Drosophila melanogaster: one gene and its partners. The gene in region 1 interacts genetically with each later gene. Each region holds a gene or a part of one and is shown in the gene's direction. Other genes may lie near its edges.

Region 1 (6,005 bases):
TGGGTGCTGGACGAGACGGGCGAGGAGCGGGCCCGCGGCATCACCATGGACGTGGGCCAGTCGCGTATCGAAACCAAGACCAAGATCGTCACACTGCTGGATGCTCCGGGGCACAAGGACTTCATTCCGAACATGATCTCCGGTGCCACACAGGCGGATGTTGCCCTTCTGGTGGTGGATGCTACAAGGGGAGAGTTTGAATCCGGCTTTGAGCTCGGCGGACAGACTAGAGAGCACGCCATTCTAGTGCGATCCCTGGGGGTTAACCAGCTAGGCGTGGTCATCAACAAGCTGGACACCGTTGGCTGGTCCCAGGACCGATTCACAGAGATTGTGACCAAGCTAAAGTCCTTCCTCAAACTGGCGGGCTTCAAGGATTCCGATGTGAGTTTTACGCCCTGTTCCGGACTAACCGGCGAGAACCTCACCAAGAAAGCCCAGGAACCCGCCCTGACCAACTGGTACAGTGGACGCCACCTCCTCGATGTCATTGAGAACTTCAAGATCCCCGAAAGAGCCATCGACAGACCGCTGCGAATGTCCGTGTCGGACATTTACAAGGGCACTGGCTCCGGATTCTGCATCTCGGGACGAGTGGAAACCGGAGTGCTGTGCCTGAACGACAAGGTGCTGGTGGGTGCCAGCCGGGAGCAGGCCCAAGTGAAATCCCTTACCATGAACGAATTCCCACAGACTTGCGTGTTCGCCGGCGATCAGGTCTCCGTCACCCTGCCCGCCTTGGACATCAACAACGTCACCGTGGGCTGCATCATCAGCGATCCACAAACCCCTATTCCGGTGACAACGCGATTCCAGGCCCGCATAATCGTGTTCAACGTCAAGGTGCCCATTACCATGGGCTTCCCCGTGCTGCTGCACCACCAATCCCTAATAGAGCCCGCCGTGGTCTGCAAGCTGACCGCATCGATTCACAAGAGCACCGGCGAGGTGGTCAAGAAGAAGCCGCGTTGCCTGGGCAACAACTCGTGTGCCCTAGTGGAACTGGAAACCAGCAGACCCATCTGCATCGAGCGGTATGCGGACTTCAAGGAGCTGGGACGCGTGATGCTTCGCGTGGCGGGAGTCACCATTGCCGCCGGAATGGTCACCAAGATCCGCTAGGTCGATGACCGCGCTGGATTTTGTACGAAATTTTAGTTAGATATTAACTTTTGTTGATTTCCTAAATATACATAGTTTATATGAATTGATTAAATCGAAAAGACGCTGAAGCATTGGAAGAGATTTCGGTCTGACCATTTTAGCGGTATCTTAAAGTGGAGTGTGTTTTTCATGGAATTAATCACTTTAAGAAATTATTATATTTATTATCATTGAATTAATCATAAGGAATATAATTACAATTTATACATAAATTGCAATATCACGTTTTTGGAATATTATGACCCCTACAATAATATTCCAAAAACGTGATATTGCAATTTTTGTATAAATTGTAATTATTTTCCTTATGATAAATTCTATGATTCAAAACTGTATCTCGAAAATGTGAATATGCGGCTGACTAAAATTCTGAATGCGAATCATATTGCTGATTCATGAAACAATCAAGCATTAGAATTTTTTCTTAAACTATCGGCAACACAGCTTATATATTATTTGCAAATTATGCTTAAAAAATAAAATAGGAATACCATAAAATATCACTTACTGTAGAAAACAATTTCAATATGAAATCGTATTAACAAAATTAAAATTAAAAAAAAATATATAGGGAAAATAACAATTTAAATATTTCCAAAATTTGATGTGCTAATATAAATTTAAAAGAATCAAATATATTTCGAATATAAATTTTATAGTTTATTTTTAAAATTTACAGCAATGCTTTAAAAGTGTCATCGCTAAGCCATTGCGATAGTCGTGCGTAGCCCTCGGCCTGCGAGTGCCGATAGTGCCATCGATGCTTTGGCAGCCCTAGTCTTTGAGTGTTCGCTGTTCGCTGAGGGCGAAAAAGTAAAGAAATTACAAGGCAAACTAGTGTTAAATTAAAAGTGAAGCGATTCGCGAGCGGCGACAGGTGAAGCGGTCCCCAAGGAGCAAGCAGTTGGCGGCAGCGAGTGAAAAGCATAGGTAAAACTCCGCCCAGAGTTGCCCTGCCGCCCGACATGCGGGTGCATTTGCGTGGTTCAGTTGTTTAGTGGCCGTTCGGTAGGCCGATGTACGCACATGGGTGCCCAGTGTGCAATTTAAGTGCATTTTAAGTGAGAGAGCTGAGTGAAATTTAAGGGAATCTCCGGCTTGAGGCGTTGCAGTGGGGCGCTGCGTTCGGTGCGGCCGCCTGGCAACCCTGAAAATGAATCATTAGAGCGAGAACGAGAACGAGAGAGTTGTGAAGAAGAAAAGAGGGAGTGCAGTCAGTTCTCAGCATACCAAAAAACGCAAACCAAAAAGACTCGCAAAGAATTTAGCGTTTATTGTGTCTAAAAAGCGCCTTTCTTCTTACTCCCCCCACAGTGTGCTCTCGGTAGCAGTGACGGCCGTCTCGAGGAACAGTCAAGCCAGGATATTTCCGCTCAAAAAAGCAACAATTGAACGCACGCAACTCGGCGGAAGGAGCGAGCGAGAGAGGGAGCACAAACACCATCACACATTCACACACACTAACACACACACACTCACGCAGTCACTTACACGGCACAAAGGTTATCAACAGCAAAAGCAACAACAACAAACAATTTACTTTAAATATAAAACATATATTAACTAATAAGCAAGAGCAACAAAAAAAAACAAAAACAAAAAACAACTGCAACCGACAAGCAATCGCCGAACAACGCCTAAAAACAAGTGATTTTCGAGGGAGAGCCACCTGGAAAGTGAACCCACCTACCTGGCCTACCTGCATTTTGGGTCTCTTCCCTAGAATTTAGCACAAAACAAGAGATATACGAAGGATATACAAACAGCACAGCAGCCAGCATGCGTGAGTACAAAATCGTGGTCCTTGGAAGCGGCGGCGTGGGCAAATCCGCGCTGACAGTCCAGTTTGTCCAGTGCATCTTCGTGGAGAAGTACGATCCCACCATCGAGGACAGTTACAGGAAGCAGGTGGAGGTGGACGGACAGCAGTGCATGCTGGAGATCCTGGACACGGCGGGTACGGAGCAGTTCACGGCCATGCGGGATTTGTACATGAAGAACGGCCAGGGATTCGTGCTGGTCTACTCGATCACGGCGCAATCGACGTTTAACGATCTGCAGGACCTGCGCGAGCAGATACTCCGGGTGAAGGACACGGACGATGTGCCCATGGTGCTCGTGGGCAACAAGTGCGACCTCGAAGAGGAGCGCGTCGTCGGCAAGGAGCTGGGCAAGAACCTGGCCACCCAGTTCAACTGCGCCTTCATGGAGACCTCAGCCAAAGCCAAAGTGAATGTGAACGATATTTTCTACGACCTGGTCCGGCAGATCAACAAGAAGTCGCCCGAGAAGAAACAGAAGAAGCCGAAAAAGTCCCTATGTGTTCTGCTATAAGACTTCCAAAAACCACCAAAACTAAAAAAACAAAAAAAAAAATATATAACAGAGGAGGAGGAGAGAGGAGCAAAAGTATAAGCGTAAAGTAAAGAATTTTCAAATTTTTTTCGTTCTCGTTTCGTTTTGGATCCGATGGCAATTGTCGAATTGAAATAACCAATCTACTATATACAAGCAAAACTTAAACTGACAAATGTTTTTAACTGTTTCAAGTTTTTGTAATTATTACCATTTACTACTATTATGATTGTACTATTTTTCGCTGATTAACCATTAATTCATATGGGGAATTATTATATATATATATCTACATATTTAAATATATTTGTCGTTCGTTTTTGAGCCGTTTTTTAAATTATGCAACAAGTGAAACATTCGTAAACTAAAACATTCGTATTTATTGATTCTTTTCGATTGTACTCTACACATCTACAACTACAACTACTTATACACGCGAAAGCCCAACCAACAACAAGTATATCTTTAAATAGAACCGAAAACAACATTCGAAACACAAATCAAATTAAGCTAAACTAAATTGTACGCCTAAAAGATAAAGATAACAAATTCCACGAGAGAAATGAGCAAATAAATCGAGAAAGGAAATGAATCATGAATAAGGAACATATTTTATAAAAATATTGTATGCAAATGATGTCAAAATGTTGCAAACAACCAGAAGTAATGAGCCCCCTCCCCCTTAGAAATTAGTTTAAAACAAATTTACAATTAATTGTTTACCACGATCAGTTGCATCAAATCTGAACCCCCCCCCCCAAACACACACATACCAGCCACATCCCACACACACACACACACATTCGCAACCAGAACTCACACACACAAACACACCTACACATTTCCGGCGCGCTCTCAGAGAGCGAAAAAGCTACACGAAAACGGAAGCGGAATCGAGACAAGAGGCTCCTGCGGCCAAGGCTCATTTCCGCTTCCTGGTAAAAAGAAGAGGAGCAGGAAGTGCAGAGAGAGCCACAAATTCTAGAATATTTAATACATAAGAAATGGTTTAACACAAACTAAACTGTCGTGTCAATCCCAAAATGAAAAGAAACCTAAAAACGAAGTAATTTACAAATATTTCATAATAAACATTGCATAAACTTCGCGTACGAGTAGTAACCAATATGCCCTTAAATCAAAGTCTAAACACAGCCAACAACCAACATTAAAAGTAAACTAAATAAAACCTAAGCCCAAGCGTATATATTAAATATATGATAAAGATACAAATCATTTTTGAACATAATAAACAACAAACAAACCAACCGTTACAATAACATAATGTAATAATGAGCGTGTGAAAAATGTAATTGAAAAACCATTTTTTCGAACTTGTTTCCCTACTGGTCGCGTTTTTGGGACCCCACACAGAGCCTCTGATCTCAGAATCCTGGCAGTCCCGAATTCGCGACGCAGTAGGTCGACATGATCGAGCATCTTTTAATTATTAATAAATGTATTATGTTTATAAAAAATTAAAAAGGAAATGCAAAAACAAAATAAAAATTAAATAAATTCATTTGTGGAGCGTATGCCTTATTCTTAGCATAGTTCATTCAGAAGTTAAAGACAAGACGATTGCATTGAAGTTTTGAAATATCTGTATTTGATACTTGGAATAGTTATATAAGGTTGTTATTCAAATATTTATACATATACAATTACAATCAAATAGCTCGTCTTTATAATTATAATATTCTGCTAGTTTATAGCACGCATGTTAATCCAGCGTAAGATCTGCGATAGGATCGATTCGGAGTTAAGTTGGGGCGTAGGAGTAGTAAAACCGCATTGTATCCACAGCTGATATGGTATGCAAGTTCCGAGAGATTCGCGGGTTGAGATATACAATCATAATGCATGCTTTTCGTAGAAGCCGGCGAATCGCTCGCCAGCAGTTAAAATGTAGAAAGTGAATTTTAAGACAGAGTTACGTGGTAGTTTCTATTACTGTACAATAAGTGGCTCGAGTTCCGCTTCATGACTAGGTTTTGGGCTAAGCAAAGTGCTATACTGGGGGACTCGCCTCCGATTCCTGGTGTGATGCTTGTTAATTAACGCTTTTTATAATCAGTCGAACGTGTGAGTGAGTGTGGCTTTCTAGCAATCTCTAGCAATCGCGGCTTAAAAGAGGCCGCCTTAGTATCGATTACAAATTATGCATAAAACTTAACTACGCTAATTTGGCAACAACGAAAGGGTAAACAAAACGTATACAAACAAGGAATATATGTATGGGTATATGGGGGTATTGCACGGTAGGGTAAAAATTGCACTTAAGGTTAAAACTAGGGTAATACCATCGCATCTTTGTGTCGAGATTGGGATAGGAGATTTCAGATTTCGTTCTTGCCCGGAGATTACTTTGGACTGGGGAACTGGGGAGATTACTAGCGCACGTGATCGTCACGTTATGGCCGTTGAGATTAGATAACAAAACGATCCGCTTCACTTGCGCAGCTGCAGTTGACCCTGCTGCTGGC
Region 2 (5,111 bases), on another chromosome or scaffold:
GGCCATGAAGGCCTTCAAAGCCAGCCGTGCCCACCAGCCGAGTTTATTAAGATCGCATTTATCATAATTACCGCCGGGTCGTTGTGTTGTGTCTGGTGGAGCAGGATTCAACGCCATGTGATGACATATTCAGCAGGCAAAGCGGCCGTTAAATTCTTGGAATTTCATTCCGCATTGGCAAGCCCGAAAAAATGTCTATGGTGGTCCTGTCAACATGGGGGAGGCTCATAAAAAATGCGACAGGCAGACCCCATGAAAAACCAAAAAAAAAAAAAAACCCTGCAACACAGGGAAAGTAGTCTTCCACTTTTATTACGTCAGTTCTATTTAGTGCTATACCGTTATTGTTAATTATGTCTAATTATATTAGTAGAAGTAATTCATCTTTGCACTTATCCTATGCTACACCCGTTTGTGTATAATGAAATACCTATCTAGGAATACCAGACTACGATCCACCTTAACTATTTTTCTTTCTGTGCATTAACAGCTGGGGGAAAAAGCCAAGAATTTATATGCGCTGGGGCAGCCTGTGGAGCTGGAACCGAAACTGGGAATGATTCATGCGGAAATAAAGGCACTCGAGAGTGCCGTAAATATTGTGGTGGCGACCACAACAACAGCGGCTCTGGGAAAGGTGGAAAACAAAAGGAAAGCTTTGCATTTTCGCACCTTTTCAGGAGCGAACACGACTGAATCGCCGTTGATTCATTAGCTGAATGTGACAAGCCGTCAGTGAATGTCCAAGTGTCCAAGTGACCAAAAGTCCGGGTGTTCACGCACTCGCTCCGTAAATTCTGTCCGTTGTTTCGTGTCCGCTGCTGGTGTGCATTATTTAATTGACATGTTGATTGTTTCGCATTGCGATTCCATTTTATGTGCACTTTCAGGCGAGGGTGTGAGGCAGTTCCGCCCGGGGCGCGGTGCGGGGTTGTCCGCTGTTCGCCCGACGGCCGAGCGGACGGACAAGTGCCTGTTGAAGAGCTGGTCAACTGCGACGACTCACCAAAATAACGCTCAACAGTTTGTTGTGGAGCACGTAGAATAGGAGAGCGAGCAGCAAATGTTGCTAAACATTCGAGTGAATAGAGTCAAAACAAATTGTTATTTCAAGTAGACTAGGCAAGCAATATTATTCGTAATACAACATATCAGATTCGATTAACTTTTCATCTTTAAAGCCCAATACACAATCTATATTTTTTTTTTTTTTATATTTATTTATTTAGAAGCGATGAATCCATACAATGCAGTAACAGTAACATAACAGCGCAATTAACATATAAAAGATAAAACCAAACCTCTCACTAATCATGTGAGGACTTAAGACAATCTATACTAATAAGCAATAAGCAAGTAAGTAAAACAAATAAATCAAACAAGAACATAAATTTATATGTTAAATGCTATATCATTATAGCCATCTTTATACAAATTGTATCTCTTTGCTGATTATCGTATATAAGTGTAGGCAGTAAATGAATAAGAATAATATTTAAATTAAATTAATATTAAGTTTAAAATCGTAAAAGAATAGTAGAAATCCATTCATATCACAAAATAATGGGATTCAAATTATAATAAATATTATAACAAAAGTAGTATAATTTCAAACACTATAAGCAAAGAAACTGTATTTAATTAGAACTACTTTGAAATTACGTTTTTTCGTGTGCCAAATTTTATTTGGATTTTGACCACACCGATTTGGATGTAAGCCCACTGTGCCGAAGATTTGTCAAACTTGTTGCTAAAAAACGCGCCAAAATATGTGAGTGACGGAAAGGGACGGCGGGAAGGCGGAACAAGGCCAAAAGTACCGCACCGCAGCCGTCAACACTGCAGTCATCGGCAATGAGTAACTTCCAACAACCCACCACGACCCCCAATCTCCGCCGGGAAACCCACCTGCGAGGCGCAGGACAGGAGCGTGGTGAAGAGCGCCGCTCGGAAGTCGGAAAATGGAAGGCGGCCGAGCAGTTGCGACGCGACTACCAAATGAATCGGACGCGATAGCGCTTCAGCGGAGGTCGAGAACTGAAATGTTTGCCCAAGAACTGTATATACCAAGTGCTTGAAAGCCGTTAGCAAGTGGTTCATTTAAATATTCGTTTGAAGTCGGTTCGATTTCAGGTATTCGCTGGATTTCGGTATGTCGCGTGGGTTCGAAACTAAAAGTTCATTTTCCGTGCCAAAAAGTGTTTGCCAACAAGAAGGACTTTAAAATATCGAATTCTGCTGCGGGATCTCTGTTACTCTTGCATCTTCTGATCCTTTTCTCCGTTCAGAGGATGCGTGAGTATTCGATTCATGATGTTTCTTCGCCACATGACCAAGCTAAATGGCTAAGTTTTCCGTTTGGCAACGGCTGCAGTGGGCAGTTAAATCACATCTATTGTGGTTCAAAGTTTTGCTTTCACTCGGTTGCTTAATTAAAACAAAGTTTGAAACCCTAAAGTGGAAATTACATGGAACATCTGTTTCCAGGGCGATTTCAAAGCTTGTTCAATTCAATTCCCTAACCGCCACTCCGGACACTAATTGCATTTGCTGGCAGGATGGACAACTCGTTCGAAAGTGGCCGCTTATCGAGTCGTCCACTCGGAATATCGCCAATATCAGTCTTATCGCCCCCGGGACTTTTGTCGCCATTTATGTACGTGGAGCCAGCCAGCGAGCGAACGACACGTCAGAAAACGTGGCATACATTCGGGCGCCTTCGCGGGCTGGCCACGATGGCGAATACTTAATTATTCATATGCGAGCTGATGGTCCTTCGCGATGTCTTTCCTTTTGAGCCGTCACTCGAACACTTGTTCCGCCTGCAGTTCCATTTCGCTGACGAAAGCCACTGCACTTCTGATGGGGTGGTATAAATTATGTTTTTTCCCATTGACGCAGAACAAAATACGCATTCGTTTGCGGTACAGATACAGATAGTGCAGCGCATGGGTAAACATGGAGTTCGGTAACGAATTCGCGGTTAGATCGTGCCTTCGCATGCCATACGATCTGGATTTGGGCATACTGGGAAATTAGAATGCCCATTGACAGCGCATTAAGTATACGCCGTGTGTGTGGAGTAATCTATTGTTATCTGGAAATCTATTGTTAGATTTGTGCGCCAACAGTTTGTTGGTGCTCCGCCCTCACCGCTCTCCTGCACCACAACACCCCCTCGCCGGCCGAGCAGGCATCAAAGCTTATTCATAACATTTGCTTTTGTTGGCGACACAGATACCCACAAGCACACACAAGCACACACACACTGACGCAGTGGGGCCTTCTGGGCAGCTATCAGCAGTTGGGAAAACCCTTTTTGGCAAGTCCAACAATAGCAATTCACATTAGTTATGTGGCTGAAAAAATCGGAAAGAGGGAAACTTTTACATCTGCTGCTGGCATTTTATATAAATTATATTAGAGTCCGACATCCCAAGGCTAGCTTACACTTACGACTGCTGTATAGTGAATTTAGACTCACATTCGCCCAATTTAACTTTGCAGCTGCTCGGTATCGAAATCCTCGTCGCCAGCCAAACGGGAGCTCAAACTGAAATCCATTTCCAAACTTTCGCCTAATCAACGAGCTACGTCCACTTACCCCTGGCTCCAACTCGAAAGGAGCTCGCTCCAACGCTCCCAAAAGCGGATTTCGAGTGCCTCGCTGGGCCGAGCCACCTGGCATGTCGTATTCAAAGGGAATCGCAGATTGACGGCCACATCGCGGATTGAGGTGACTGCAAACTGGGTGCGAGCGCCGCCATTACTCGGTATTTTGATTTCGCTTTCCTGGGCCGCAACGGGCAATTAATTTGCACCACTTTGGAGCCGCTCCGCCTCGATTTATGTGCTCTGCTCAAAGTTGGGGCAACTATTTGGTTTGGTGTTTGTGGAATGTGCTGTTCATAACTTGTATCATAACTTGTGTCAAACGGCGAAACTAATCGAGCGAGGGAGATTTAAATAAAAATTCAACATGGCGATGGAATGGATAACTGCAATGGACAAACGGTAAGTGATTTTTTAATGAGCTGCACAATTAATGAGCAGCGATTTTGGGGAACTTTTCTTTAAATTCTAAGTTTTTAGCTCCAAAAGTTTCCTTAGCTGAAACGGAATGCTTTCTCTTAAATTTAAGGCATTTCCCAGCTGAGTGCACAAGTTTCTTTCCTCTGTTTTCCCGGAGCAGACACGTACTCACACATCGACGTACGTGTAAGTTGAATGAAAAGCTCGACGTGGAGTACAAACAAAACGAGAACGAGAAGCGAAACATTTTAAAATGTTGCCGTCATGCTCGACATTCATTTGTCAAGAACCAACATCGGGGTGCCCCATCCTCCTCCATCCTTGATGGCTGGCAAATGGCCAATCCATCCACTTTGTGGACACGGCCTGCCACGAATTATCCGCTTTATTAAATCTCGATATCAATTCTCCGTAACTCAATGAGCCGCCTTCTGCACAGCAATTATTTCATCATTCCTGATTTGGACACCGAACAAAGGAAAATAAAAACAGGACTTTAATCATGACATTCATATCTTTCTTGTGAATTGAAATGCAAAATAAATGTAATTGTAGTTCGCTATAAATAAACCAACCCATTTAATGATACTACTCTTAAAATACAATTTATATTATGATAAAGCATTAAAGTAATTTACCATTCATTTCATGAGCTATGCCTGAAAAGTGTTTTCTGTCGTGCAAAAATAATAATTAAACCGCTGTAAAAGTATAAAAATACTATAATTTAATTGAAAATATATATATTTCTGCTGAAAGCTCCGCATTTCAGAGGTTTTAATGCACATACATTTTTTACGTAAATATGTGCTTTGCAATTGGATGGAGTTTAGTCTTGTGCAAACATTATTTTAGTGGAATAAAACAGAGGCACGGGACTATTGTTTTTTTTTTTTAGTTGATGTCAGACTTTATACTTTCCATTTAAGAGAGCGGTTTCATTTTATCTGGACACCACAGTATTTATCTTTTCACAGCCAACATAATAACATTACCCTTATCTAAATTAATGAAAAAGCTCATATGTGAGATGGAGTATCTCTCCTGATGACATGCTATTTCTAAAGCATTTACTATTG
Region 3 (5,375 bases), on another chromosome or scaffold:
ACCCCTAAGCAAATACTCGAAAACTAGCAGAAAATGCAAAGTGTCCTTGGGGCAAACCGAAGAGGCGCGCTCTTGTGTCGTTTTCCACTGTGCGAAGGTGGGCGGCTAGTGGTGGAGGAGGCGGGGGTAAACGCCACGTGCGCTGCACTTTTTAAACTTACTTTTCCTTTGGATTTTATCGTTCTTCTTTTCTTTTTGTTGTTTCGTTAAATCCACTCGTTCTGTTACTGTTTATTCGCTATTATGGGCGAATATATGTATATATCCGAATGACTTTTGATTTTGGCTTTGTTTATGGCCGCGCTGCCGCTGGATGTTGATTTTGTCTTAGCCAAGTTTAGCTTGTCGGTTTTGTTTGTTGTTGTTGCTGAATTGCGTTGTTGCTATTGTTGCTGAATTTTGAATTGAACATATACAACATACAGATTGTACACGATTGTTAAAAAGTTGCAACTGTAAAAATAAAAACAAAAAATATTGGTCACATCGGGCACTATTTTTTTTCTCGAGATTTTTGGATTTGCGCGCGCCAGAGAATGAGTGTGGCGTAAAGAGAGGGAGAAAGAGTAAAATCCCCAGCGACAAATGTAACGTAACCCACAACGTAAGCGTCTTCTGTACGTCACCACGCTACGTAGGCCACGTAACGGTATGCTAACGTTACCGACGGCGCCGCAAAACCGCAAAATCAAAAAATACAATAACAAAATCGACAAAATTATAGATTTTCAATGTGCACGTCGGTTTCTTTTTGCTAGCGAAAATCAACTAGCGCTAGTATATTTTGCTTTTGTTTTTTCTCATTTCGAGTGAAACTTTTCGCGCGCTTCTGCGTGTGTATTCCTCTTTTTTCGTTTTTTCTTCTTTTATTTGTTAATATTATTCACTTGGTGACTACACACGTTCATGCTCATGCCCCCTCACTCGACACACACACGCACACACACTGACGAACGTTTCTGCTTCTTGCTCCTCTTTCGTTCGCTTTTGTTCCACCACCGAAAAAAATGAAAAAAAAAATTTGTCATGTCCATTGAAGTCTCACATTTTTCAAATGCATTTTTTGGCGCTAAAATCTTATAAATTTCAACATTTTTCCATTCGCATCTGATCCCCCGCAATTAGCACTCCACTTCGAACACAAATTTATATAATTTTTGCCATTTTTTACCACAATTTTTAGTAATTTCTACACACCGATATATACGTACGCGCTACGATTTTTCGACAAACGCGCGAGTTTCTTCTGAGTCGCCATCAAATATACAAAATTTTTTTTCGAAATTACTGAAAATGCGAATACACACGCACACATGGACAGCCGACGGGCACGAGGCGCACGCGCTTGGTACATGCGGCTATGCCGCTCTAACGCACTGCTTTTATTGATAAATCGAGAGCGGGACAGCTAGAGCTACCGGCCGAGAGAGAGCATGTGAGAAGAGCGTTCTGTGCGAGTGTGTGTGATAGAGAGAGCCAGAGAGCAAAGTAGTCACACATACTCTCGCAAACTCATAGTGGCTTTCGTTCTCTCCTTTTCTCAACCATTTGCACGTACTTTTAGCTTTTTCATATGGCTATTTGGGAAATTCACCAGCAGTTTACACTTATGCTGTTGTTAGTTTTAATCCATTTATACTGGTAGAACGTAGATTCGTCGGCTACTTTACATTAATTTCGTAACGTAAGCGCAACAAAAACAAGGCTGTCATCGATATAAGCAGGCGTTTTTGTCTGAAACTATCGTGCAATAAGTGACTCCGATAACCAGAGTTCCTTTACGTGTTTCTCGATTACTTATCGGATTGTGTTTGCGAGCACAAATGTCTCTTTTAGCGGAGACACAGTCCTCCAAAACTGTGCAACACTGTTCCTAGGCTCGGTGTGACCAGAGCTATTTAACAACACTGGCGAACATCGGATGGCAAATATCGAAAGAACATTGACTGTTGTTCCACCCCCTGCTGACACCATCTGGTAACACTGAACAACAGACCAGATCCGCGGACAAAGCAAAGCAGTAAATATTAATTTAATCCAAATCCAATTCCCGACACCAATTGGCGGCCTTCAGCTGCTGCTTCTGCAGTCGAATTGTATTTTTTTTTTTGGTTTTTCGTGTCACCCGATAAGAGTTAAATTCGCTGATCTAGCGAATAACGGTGGCAAGTAATTGTAATAACTGCGTGTGTGCACAGTGCTAGTGTTTAGTGTGCGAGTGTGTGCGTGTGAGTGGGAACTCCACAAGTGTGCGAGAAGGCAAATCAAAATAAGAAAAGTGCCGCCCTGATGGAAATTAATATCGCGAATTATCAGCGAAAACGCAGCGAAAGTTAAGCCAAAGTGCTGCGATTAATCAGATAGCGGGTGAAATAGTGGGTATTACGTAAGAAATCAATGGATTCCGGGCTGCATTTGCCCAAAAAAAGAGGAAGCAATATCGAAGCGCTACTTTTATCTCCTCTTTTTTCGATGATTTCATTCGCAGTGACGACACACAGGCACGCACACACCGAACGCCGTATCTGTGTGTGGGTTGTTTGTTGAGCTAAAAAAAATAATGAATCCTCACGATACATTCACTCGTTTCATTTTTTTTGTTATTATTATTCATCATATTTATTTATTTCTTTGAGTGTGCATATCGGCGACTTCGCGACGCCAATTGCTGATTACGCCCCCTCCCTTTTCAGTGCAACTTCCCCACCCCGGAGATCTTGCACTCGAACTAAAAATCGAGTAGAGTACGTAGGCAGAAGCGAAAAGAGCGTACAAAAATCAAGAGCTCAGTGGCAGCAGCAGGAATTTGTGTTTGTCAGGGGATTGCCCAGATTTTCGGGGTAATTGTCCACTTTATAAACAGCCAACCGAATTTGAAACCAACTGTAACTGGAAGTAAAAACCAATTTTACCAAAGCTATCAAAAAAAAAACAATAAAAAAAATGAAATCCTCTGCGCGCCGCTGGTTTAACCAGTACGCCCACATGTGGGCGGCCCAGATGTGCCTCGTTTTTGGCCCAATGGCTGTGGGCGTCCATCCGTGGTTGAAACTATGCGCTGCAGATGCTGTTTACTCAGGCGGTTTATAGTATTACGAATTTGCTAGCTAAAAAACTGATTAAAACTACTACTAAGTGCACAACTCATAACTTTGATATGCTGTGACTGGGTGTATAAATGATAATCGAATGAAATTATTCAATCCAAGGGTATATAAACATGGGCTTAGTCGTTTTTAGTTTGTTTTCCTTTCGGCACACGATCTGCTGCAAATCAAGCTCTGTGGTGTGTTAGTGTTCGTTGTGTTGTGTGTGCGTGGGCGTTTAAAAATAGCCGACCAACACAACACCCATACGTATACGTAATCTGCAGCCCTTTTTTTTCCGTTCCGTGCATATGGAATTTTGATTTGAGTCTTGAGTGGCTTGGAGTGAGTGATTCATGTGGCTTTAGGCGGAAAGGAAACCCAGCGAAGCTGACTCAATGACCACTCATTGTTCGTTCGGCCTTTGTTTACATTTTGCCAGGAGCCAAGAGAGCGAGAGAGCGTGCTAACGGAACGTGCTCGAATGAGTAATTCGCATTGCATTTGACGTTTATCGAAAGCTCTCTTCCTTCCGCTTTTTTCCTTTTCTTTTCGGAGGCCAACAAAAAAAAACAACAAAAGCACGCAGGCACGCACACCCACACACAAGTTCGTACATCAATCGCTTGGTGTGTGTGTGTGTTTGTGAGATGAGTCATCTGGCCAAGTTGATGAGAAAATAAAATTAAACATTAAGGTAGAGCGAAAGAAACAACAAAAAAAGGGGACAGATGTGCGGCCATTTGCTGTTGTTTGTTGTTGCAATAAAGAAAAAAGCAGGGCACGCGGAGAAAGCAGTGCTCGACAAGCAGTGCAGTCAGCAGCTGGACTTTTACGTACACCGGCGTTCGTAAAAATTGCAGCGAAATCGAAGAAATCAAATTGTGTCTTAAAAATAAATGAAAGATTAAGGCATATAAAAAAAAATAATATAAAATATGTAGCATTAGAAATATAAGTGAACCAGGAATGGCTTTTATAATAATTTCTGCCCCTTACTTAACATCTAGTGCTAAATCCAACAATTTTAATTCACTTACCATTGCAGCCGGCGCACAGAAGCGACAGAGACAGAGCACACACAGCACCTGGCACATCCAAGGATATCCGATCCTCCTGCATCCCGAATCATCCACAACCTGCACCAACCGCTAACCGCCAAAGCCATGATCCTCGAGAGAAACCGGAGGTGCCAGCTGGCCCTCCTCATGATCGCAATACTGGCCGCCATCGCTGGACAAACGGATGCCCAGAAGGCGGCCAAACTGACGGCAGTGAGCACATGTGCATCGAAGGAAAAGTGTCACACCTGCATCCAGACAGAGGGTTGCGCCTGGTGCATGCAGCCGGACTTTAAGGGCCAGTCGCGGTGCTACCAAAACACCAGCTCACTGTGTCCGGAGGAGTTCGCCTACAGTCCGATAACAGTTGAGCAGATTCTAGTGAACAACAAACTAACGAATCAATACAAAGCTGAACTGGCGGCTGGTGGCGGCGGCTCCGCCATGTCCGGCAGCAGCTCAAGCTCCTACTCGTCGAGTTCGAGCTCGTCGAGCTTCTACTCGCAGAGCTCCTCGGGATCCAGTTCCGCCAGCGGATACGAAGAGTACTCTGCCGGCGAAATTGTCCAAATCCAACCGCAGTCCATGCGACTCGCATTGCGCGTCAGTGAGTAGCAAACGATTGCATCATCCATGTGACCTACAAACTAATCCCTTACTTGCTTATCAATACACCTTAGATGAGAAACACAACATCAAGATTAGCTATTCCCAGGCGGAGGGATATCCGGTGGATCTCTACTACTTGATGGATCTCTCCAAATCTATGGAGGACGACAAGGCCAAATTGTCTACGCTGGGCGACAAGTTGTCCGAGACCATGAAACGCATCACCAACAATTTCCATCTTGGTTTCGGTTCGTTTGTGGACAAGGTGCTCATGCCCTATGTCTCGACCATTCCCAAAAAGTGAGTATGACCTACATAAATGTGAAGGAAAACCATGAATTGGAAATAGTTCTACAAATTTTGCTGATTGAAGATGATGCCAGATGCCGTCAGTTGATGGTGCATTTCTTTAAGGCCTATTAAATTATTGTATTTATATATTATATTATACAGCGTATTTGACTTGTTAAAATTATGATTTGTCTATTGTAGCGTACAATAGCCCCTCTAGTCATGACAATGTGCTTATGATTCAAATAGCGAATCAAATTAAGTTTATTTTTAAGTGATGCTACTTTCCAGAAACTCTGCAATAGTCATATCCTATTTGTCAGCGCTT
Region 4 (5,227 bases), on another chromosome or scaffold:
CCTAATCATGCAAAGTGGCTCTCCTCTCGACTTGCGTCGCCTTCAAGTGATATCGGGTTTTGGTTTTTGGGGTCTTCGCCGGCCTGGCTGCTCTTACAATTTCCCATTTGTGCGGTGTGCCAAATTAATTGGGTGAACGTGACTGCTGCTGCTCCCTAGTGCTGCCATCTCGTACTGGAGGAGTGGGTGGTGGCTGACCGAGTGCCCGAAAACAAAGCCCATTTCGGGCACTGGGTCAAAAACTGAAATTTTTTCGCAATTGCTAGTTCCCGGAAATTAATGTAAAGCATTGCCCGCTCTTTGTTTTTTACAATTCTCCAGAATGTTATTCGATTTTAATTAACAGTTTTTATTGGAATTCAAAGCTAATTTTGTTGAAACAACTAGCACTACTAGGCATGACTAGTTTTAAATTCATAGAAAGTCGAAGCTCGTTTAAGGTCCTATTAGAGAGGCAACGAACTACGACGACCTTGATATTCGAACTTTTCACTGGACGCAGGCAAGCTTTATTCTATTTTAATTGAGCCATTGGCTAGGATTTCAACTTGGCCTTAACCTTAAGCCAAGGATTCAGTTCCACCCTTTGGCCATTACCCATTACAAGGATGGCCTTTCTTTTTGGCCGCTAACCCGATCCACTTGGGTTGTTTTTTTCCTGCTTTCCATATACATTTCAGTTAGTGGGGGCTTATTGACTTGCTCTCTTGTTTTGTTGTAAGCTTTTGCTTGAGATATATAGTTTTTTATATATTTTTTTTATATTTATTTTCTTATTTATTTTCTTGCTTGCTGTACTCACTTTTGGCGACGCCTTCGATTTTCGCCCATTTGCGCAGCAGCTAGTTGATTTCCAAGGCAAGTCACGAGCGGCACTTGCAAATTGAAGAAATCCGCCCGGCGTCTTCTTGTCTCTTGCCCCGCATCCACCTCACCCCCCCCCCTTTACCACTCCCTTGTCGCCCCCAATTACCGCCCCCTCACCCTTCGCCACGGGCTCTTTCTCAGGTGCGCCAGCTGATTGATAATTGGGCGGAGAGGCCGACGGTTGGAGAGCAGCCTCCCGGGTGAAAAGAGCCGCAAACCGCGGACTGCACTGCGAGAAAGGGGGGTGTACCTGCAAGTATAAACAGTAAAGTAACTTGTCATTTTAAAATAGAAATATTATCGTAAATATATACTGAATATTTGCACGATTTCCGAGCCACATTGAATGGATACGTTTGTAGCACCCGTTTGGTCCATCAGTGATGTGAACATGTATGATTTGTTTGATGAATCTCGGAAAGAGAAAGAGCGATGTGGCGAGAGCAGCAGGAGAGATCAGGAGAGATGGTGAGAGGGCGATTGCCAGGTGGGCAAGTGCCATTTGGGGCTCTTTTTTTTTTTTGCCCCCTCGGCGGCTCTCGTGTTGCTGCTGCTGCTGCTGCTGCGTCTGTTGTTGCTGCTATTGCTGTATTGCTATATTGCTAATGTGTTGCCATTGCCGTTGGCCGGTTAGCGGGTCTCCAAGACTCGGACACTCGCTTTTGCCGCCTGGTCGGTCTTTCAGTCGGTCGGTCGTCTTTGGCTTTGCCCGTTTTGCGGATTTTCATAGTTCAGTGCGCTTTCCAGTCGACAACGACAACATCGCGAACGGACTACGACGACAGCCGCCGCAGCAGCAGCAGCAGAGCGCCAGTGTCTAAATATAATCATCTTTATTTGTGATTTATTTAATCAACATCTCCTCACCCAGAGGCCAACCAGATAGATAGCCCACTGCGGGGGCGGTGCGCCAACGAGATGGATGGATGGATGGATGATGAAAAATCAAAGAAAAGAGCGCCAAATTGCACTTGAAAAGTGAAAGAAATTGCACTGAGAGTGGCAGGCCAAAAGTGTTAGCTTATCGCTTATCGGCGATTGAATCAATCAGCCGAAGCCTGTTGAAATTTCAAGTTCAGAAATGCAAAAGTGACTGTGCGGCGAATGGAAAGCTATTGGGGAAAATTGCGGAAATCGCACTTGAAATATAAGTAAAGCAAAAGACAAGTGGCTTTGGAGTTGATTACCTTCAATTTACCACAATCGGGCAGGCAGTAAGAAACGGAAATTAGGGCTTGATGGCTTTTAAACATTAAAGAAAATAATATACGGAAATCACTATGGCCAATTGAAGTGATCTCTAAGCTGGCATACTTGTATTTCAGTCAAACAAAGAGTGTCCAGAACAATTCTTGCGGTTGCCACAGGAAGCTTGAATCGGTAATCGCTTGAATTGCCTATCGGACTATCGAACGAATTGCAAAAGTGAACGAACATGATGAGAAAGCAATTGAAATCTACTTCCTGCTGGCAGAGCACATCGGATATAGCTTTTATCAGTGCTTAAAACTTTTTCCGAAAACACTGAAACAACCGAAAACTGAAAGTGAAATAATCAATGTAAAACATGCCGAAACAGAAAAATGAATTGATGTTGTAATCGCGACGGCAATCGCTTAAATCAACAATCTTATACGAAAACGATGTTGCTGCTATCGCTTATCGCTATTTGGAGAAATCAGTTAGGCCAACGTGTGTGTCTTTTGGCCAAGCATATTTAAGCCACAACAAATTGTTGTTATGCGTGTTGCTGTCGCTGTTGCTGCTGTTGTTATTGCTGCTGCTGCTGCTGCTGTCATTATGCAACATTATGCCGCAGTTTGATGAATCTTTTTTGAGCGACTGTGCGCTCGCCGACCGCTGGCATTTCTATTCGTACACGGTCAAGCAATTGCCGCCACATCCGAGTCCGAAACCGAATCGGAATCGGAATCCGTATCCCAGCGGTGCCAGCCACGATGACCATCAGCACCAACTCCATCATCATCATCATCAACAGCACCATCACAATCATCATCGTCTTTGGAAGACTCAGCGGCAGTCGTGGTCGCCGCGCGACACCAACAACAATCATAGCCTCACAAGCAACAACTGCAACTGCAACAGCAGTAACACCTGCAACAGCATCAGTGCCACCGGCAACACGTTGCATAGCATCAAATTCCACAGACGTCGCAAATACAAAAAGCTGGCACGATTGGCGCTATCAACGCCAGCGATTCCACTGCAGATGGATGTGGATGTCGATGTGAATGTGACCGTGGATAGGGAGTTCGATATGGAGATGGACACACCTGTGCCGCTCAAGAATGCGGTGTGCCGTAAGTGAAAGCTACTCGCCGGTCTTTTCGCTTGGTGGGTGGTGCTCATCGGTTTCTCGCTGTTTTGGATCTTTAAAAAAGTTCCGAAACTAAAATGTTTGGGCTCGCATGAACGATTCCCGAAATGGGGAATGCTAGGAATTCCGTATTACATATGTTGATTTCAATTGCAATTATTTCACATTTAAGTAGACACGTTTCAAGATTCGAATGAGTACATATGTACATATATTGTGTTGTGAAGGGGTAATGATGAATCTTTTCAAGATTCCTCAAGCTGTTTGGCTAACTCTGAAAGATTTTCATTTTCGCTGCTGGCTTAGCCACTTTAGAATGATGTATACGATGACCTTAAGATATTCATCTTACCTAACCAAATGAAGAAAAGTAAGAAACGAAACGATACCAACATTGCCATATATTGCAAAAGATTGTGGTTTTATATGGAGCAACTTTTGATTTTCAAATTGGCATTCAAGAATGCGGCTCGAACAGGAAAGACTCTAAGCCCATGATATGTGTATATATATAGGATCTAGATTCCAGTCTTAGTCTCTTATTATTGTTACCCAAAAACGTATATTGTTATCTAATGCCTATGAATTGATTAAGTGTACCTACCTTAGATTAATAATCCCCGATTTCTTGCTCTTTTTGCAGACGGCAGCATCAGTTCTCCATCCACGCCCGGCACCTGTTCCAGTGGCATCGGAGTGGGCGGTGGCGGCTGCAGCAGCAGCAGCAACAATAGCATCAACAGCGGCAGCTACTCCACCGCCTGCACTCCGCCACCACCCACGCATCAGCATCACTCGCAGCACCAGCAGCTGCAGGGCACGCCGGGAGGATCTAGTCGGGTAGGGGGAGCAGGAGCAGGCGGAGGTGGTGGTGTACCACCGGCACCACCCAGTGCCGGATCCTCGGGCCACAAGAACAGTCTCAAGGGCACCAAGCTAGCGCGCCGGGCGCGTTCCTTTAAGGACGACCTCATCGAGAAGATTTCCCTGATGCGAACCACCAACAATACACTGGGTCGCTCCCACTCGCCGCACAGTCCGCGCACCAAGCACGGCACAAAGGCACCGCCCACCACCGAGGAGGTGCTACGGTCCACCCAAACCCTGGAGACGCACGTCAAGGACATTTCGAATGCCCTGAAGCACTTCCGGGATGTTATACTCAAGAAGAAGCTGGAGGTGTTGCCGGGCAACGGAACGGTCATTCTGGAAACCATAGCCAGCATGTACTCCGGTGAGTATCTACTACCCCAATTTCCTCGTTTTGTAATTAATCCAGTTGCTTTCCTTTGCTGCCGCAGTGATCCAAACCTATACCCTGAATGAAAACAGTGCCATCATGAGCAGCGCCACGCTGCAGGTTTACCAGAGCCTGGGCAAGCTCATCAAGCTCTGCGACGAGGTGATGCTCTCCGAGGACAGCGGCGAGTGCGCCTCCCTGAGCAACGAGAATGTGCGGGAAGTCATTGATCTTCTCGAGGATGCTGTGCGGGTAAGTCCAATTAACACTAACCTAGTACACAGTGTATTGCTATAATAAATACGATGATGTTTCATGATCGTGCACAGAATCTCGTTACGCTGGCGCAGGGCAAGCTGAAGGAGCAGGATCAGTGCGCCTTTCGCTACAGTGGATCTGGCTTGGGCGGCATTGGAGCGGCGGCGGAGATCATGGGTGCGGTCACCGCCTCGCCGGGAGCGAGTGTTCCCGGTACTGGAGTCATGCGCGTTTCGGCCGCCGAATCAGCTGCCCAGCGTACTTCGTTGCCGGACATAGCGCTCACGCCCAAGGAGCGCGACATACTGGAGCAGCACAATGTGAACCCGATGCGCGGCTCCCACAGCACCGAAAGTATCCTGCGCGACACGAGTCCACCGCCGAAGCCACCGCTACCCAATAGGGCCAGTAATCCGCCGCCGTTGCCACCAAAGCGACGCAGCCAGCCGAGCGCATCAGCTGGTACAGTGGGCGTAGGCTGCTCATCGTCGACATCCACCTCCAATCAGGCCAGTCCACTGCCC

The links.
Region 2: of Rap1 (region 1) and Epac, changing one suppresses a phenotype caused by changing the other (phenotypic suppression), as found in Drosophila melanogaster (one study listed by BioGRID).
Region 3: of Rap1 (region 1) and mys, changing one suppresses a phenotype caused by changing the other (phenotypic suppression), as found in Drosophila melanogaster (one study listed by BioGRID).
Region 4: of Rap1 (region 1) and C3G, changing one suppresses a phenotype caused by changing the other (phenotypic suppression), as found in Drosophila melanogaster (one study listed by BioGRID).

Annotation. Positions count from the first base shown.
Region 1 is NT_037436.4:1,858,150-1,864,154, reverse strand, and holds Rap1 (Rap1 GTPase), read left to right. Parts: upstream 1-1,915; 5' UTR 1,916-2,094; exon of another isoform or gene 2,095-2,225; intron 2,226-2,338; exon of another isoform or gene 2,339-2,478; 5' UTR 2,479-2,943; coding exon 2,944-3,498; 3' UTR 3,499-5,040; downstream 5,041-6,005. Other genes in the region: HBS1, read left to right, coding at 1-1,122; CG12024 (uncharacterized protein), read right to left, coding at 5,971-6,005. UniProt on the Drosophila melanogaster protein: Ras proteins bind GDP/GTP and possess intrinsic GTPase activity. Plays a role in photoreceptor cell determination.
Region 2 is NT_033778.4:6,795,809-6,800,919, reverse strand, and holds the start of Epac (exchange protein directly activated by cAMP), read left to right. Parts: upstream 1-1,978; 5' UTR 1,979-2,150; intron 2,151-3,507; 5' UTR 3,508-3,979; coding exon 3,980-4,014; intron 4,015-5,111.
Region 3 is NC_004354.4:8,059,706-8,065,080, forward strand, and holds the start of mys (myospheroid), read left to right. Parts: upstream 1-1,939; 5' UTR 1,940-2,020; exon of another isoform or gene 2,021-2,375; intron 2,376-4,134; 5' UTR 4,135-4,252; coding exon 4,253-4,754; intron 4,755-4,827; coding exon 4,828-5,056; intron 5,057-5,375. UniProt on the Drosophila melanogaster protein: Integrin alpha-PS1/beta-PS is a receptor for laminin. Integrin alpha-PS2/beta-PS is a receptor for Tig, wb and Ten-m. Contributes to endodermal integrity and adhesion between the midgut epithelium and the surrounding visceral muscle.
Region 4 is NC_004354.4:6,787,673-6,792,899, reverse strand, and holds the start of C3G (C3G guanyl-nucleotide exchange factor), read left to right. Parts: upstream 1-1,864; 5' UTR 1,865-2,677; coding exon 2,678-3,188; intron 3,189-3,848; coding exon 3,849-4,439; intron 4,440-4,506; coding exon 4,507-4,697; intron 4,698-4,774; coding exon 4,775-5,227. UniProt on the Drosophila melanogaster protein: Guanine nucleotide-releasing protein that binds to SH3 domain of Crk. Transduces signals from Crk to activate RAS. Also involved in MAPK activation.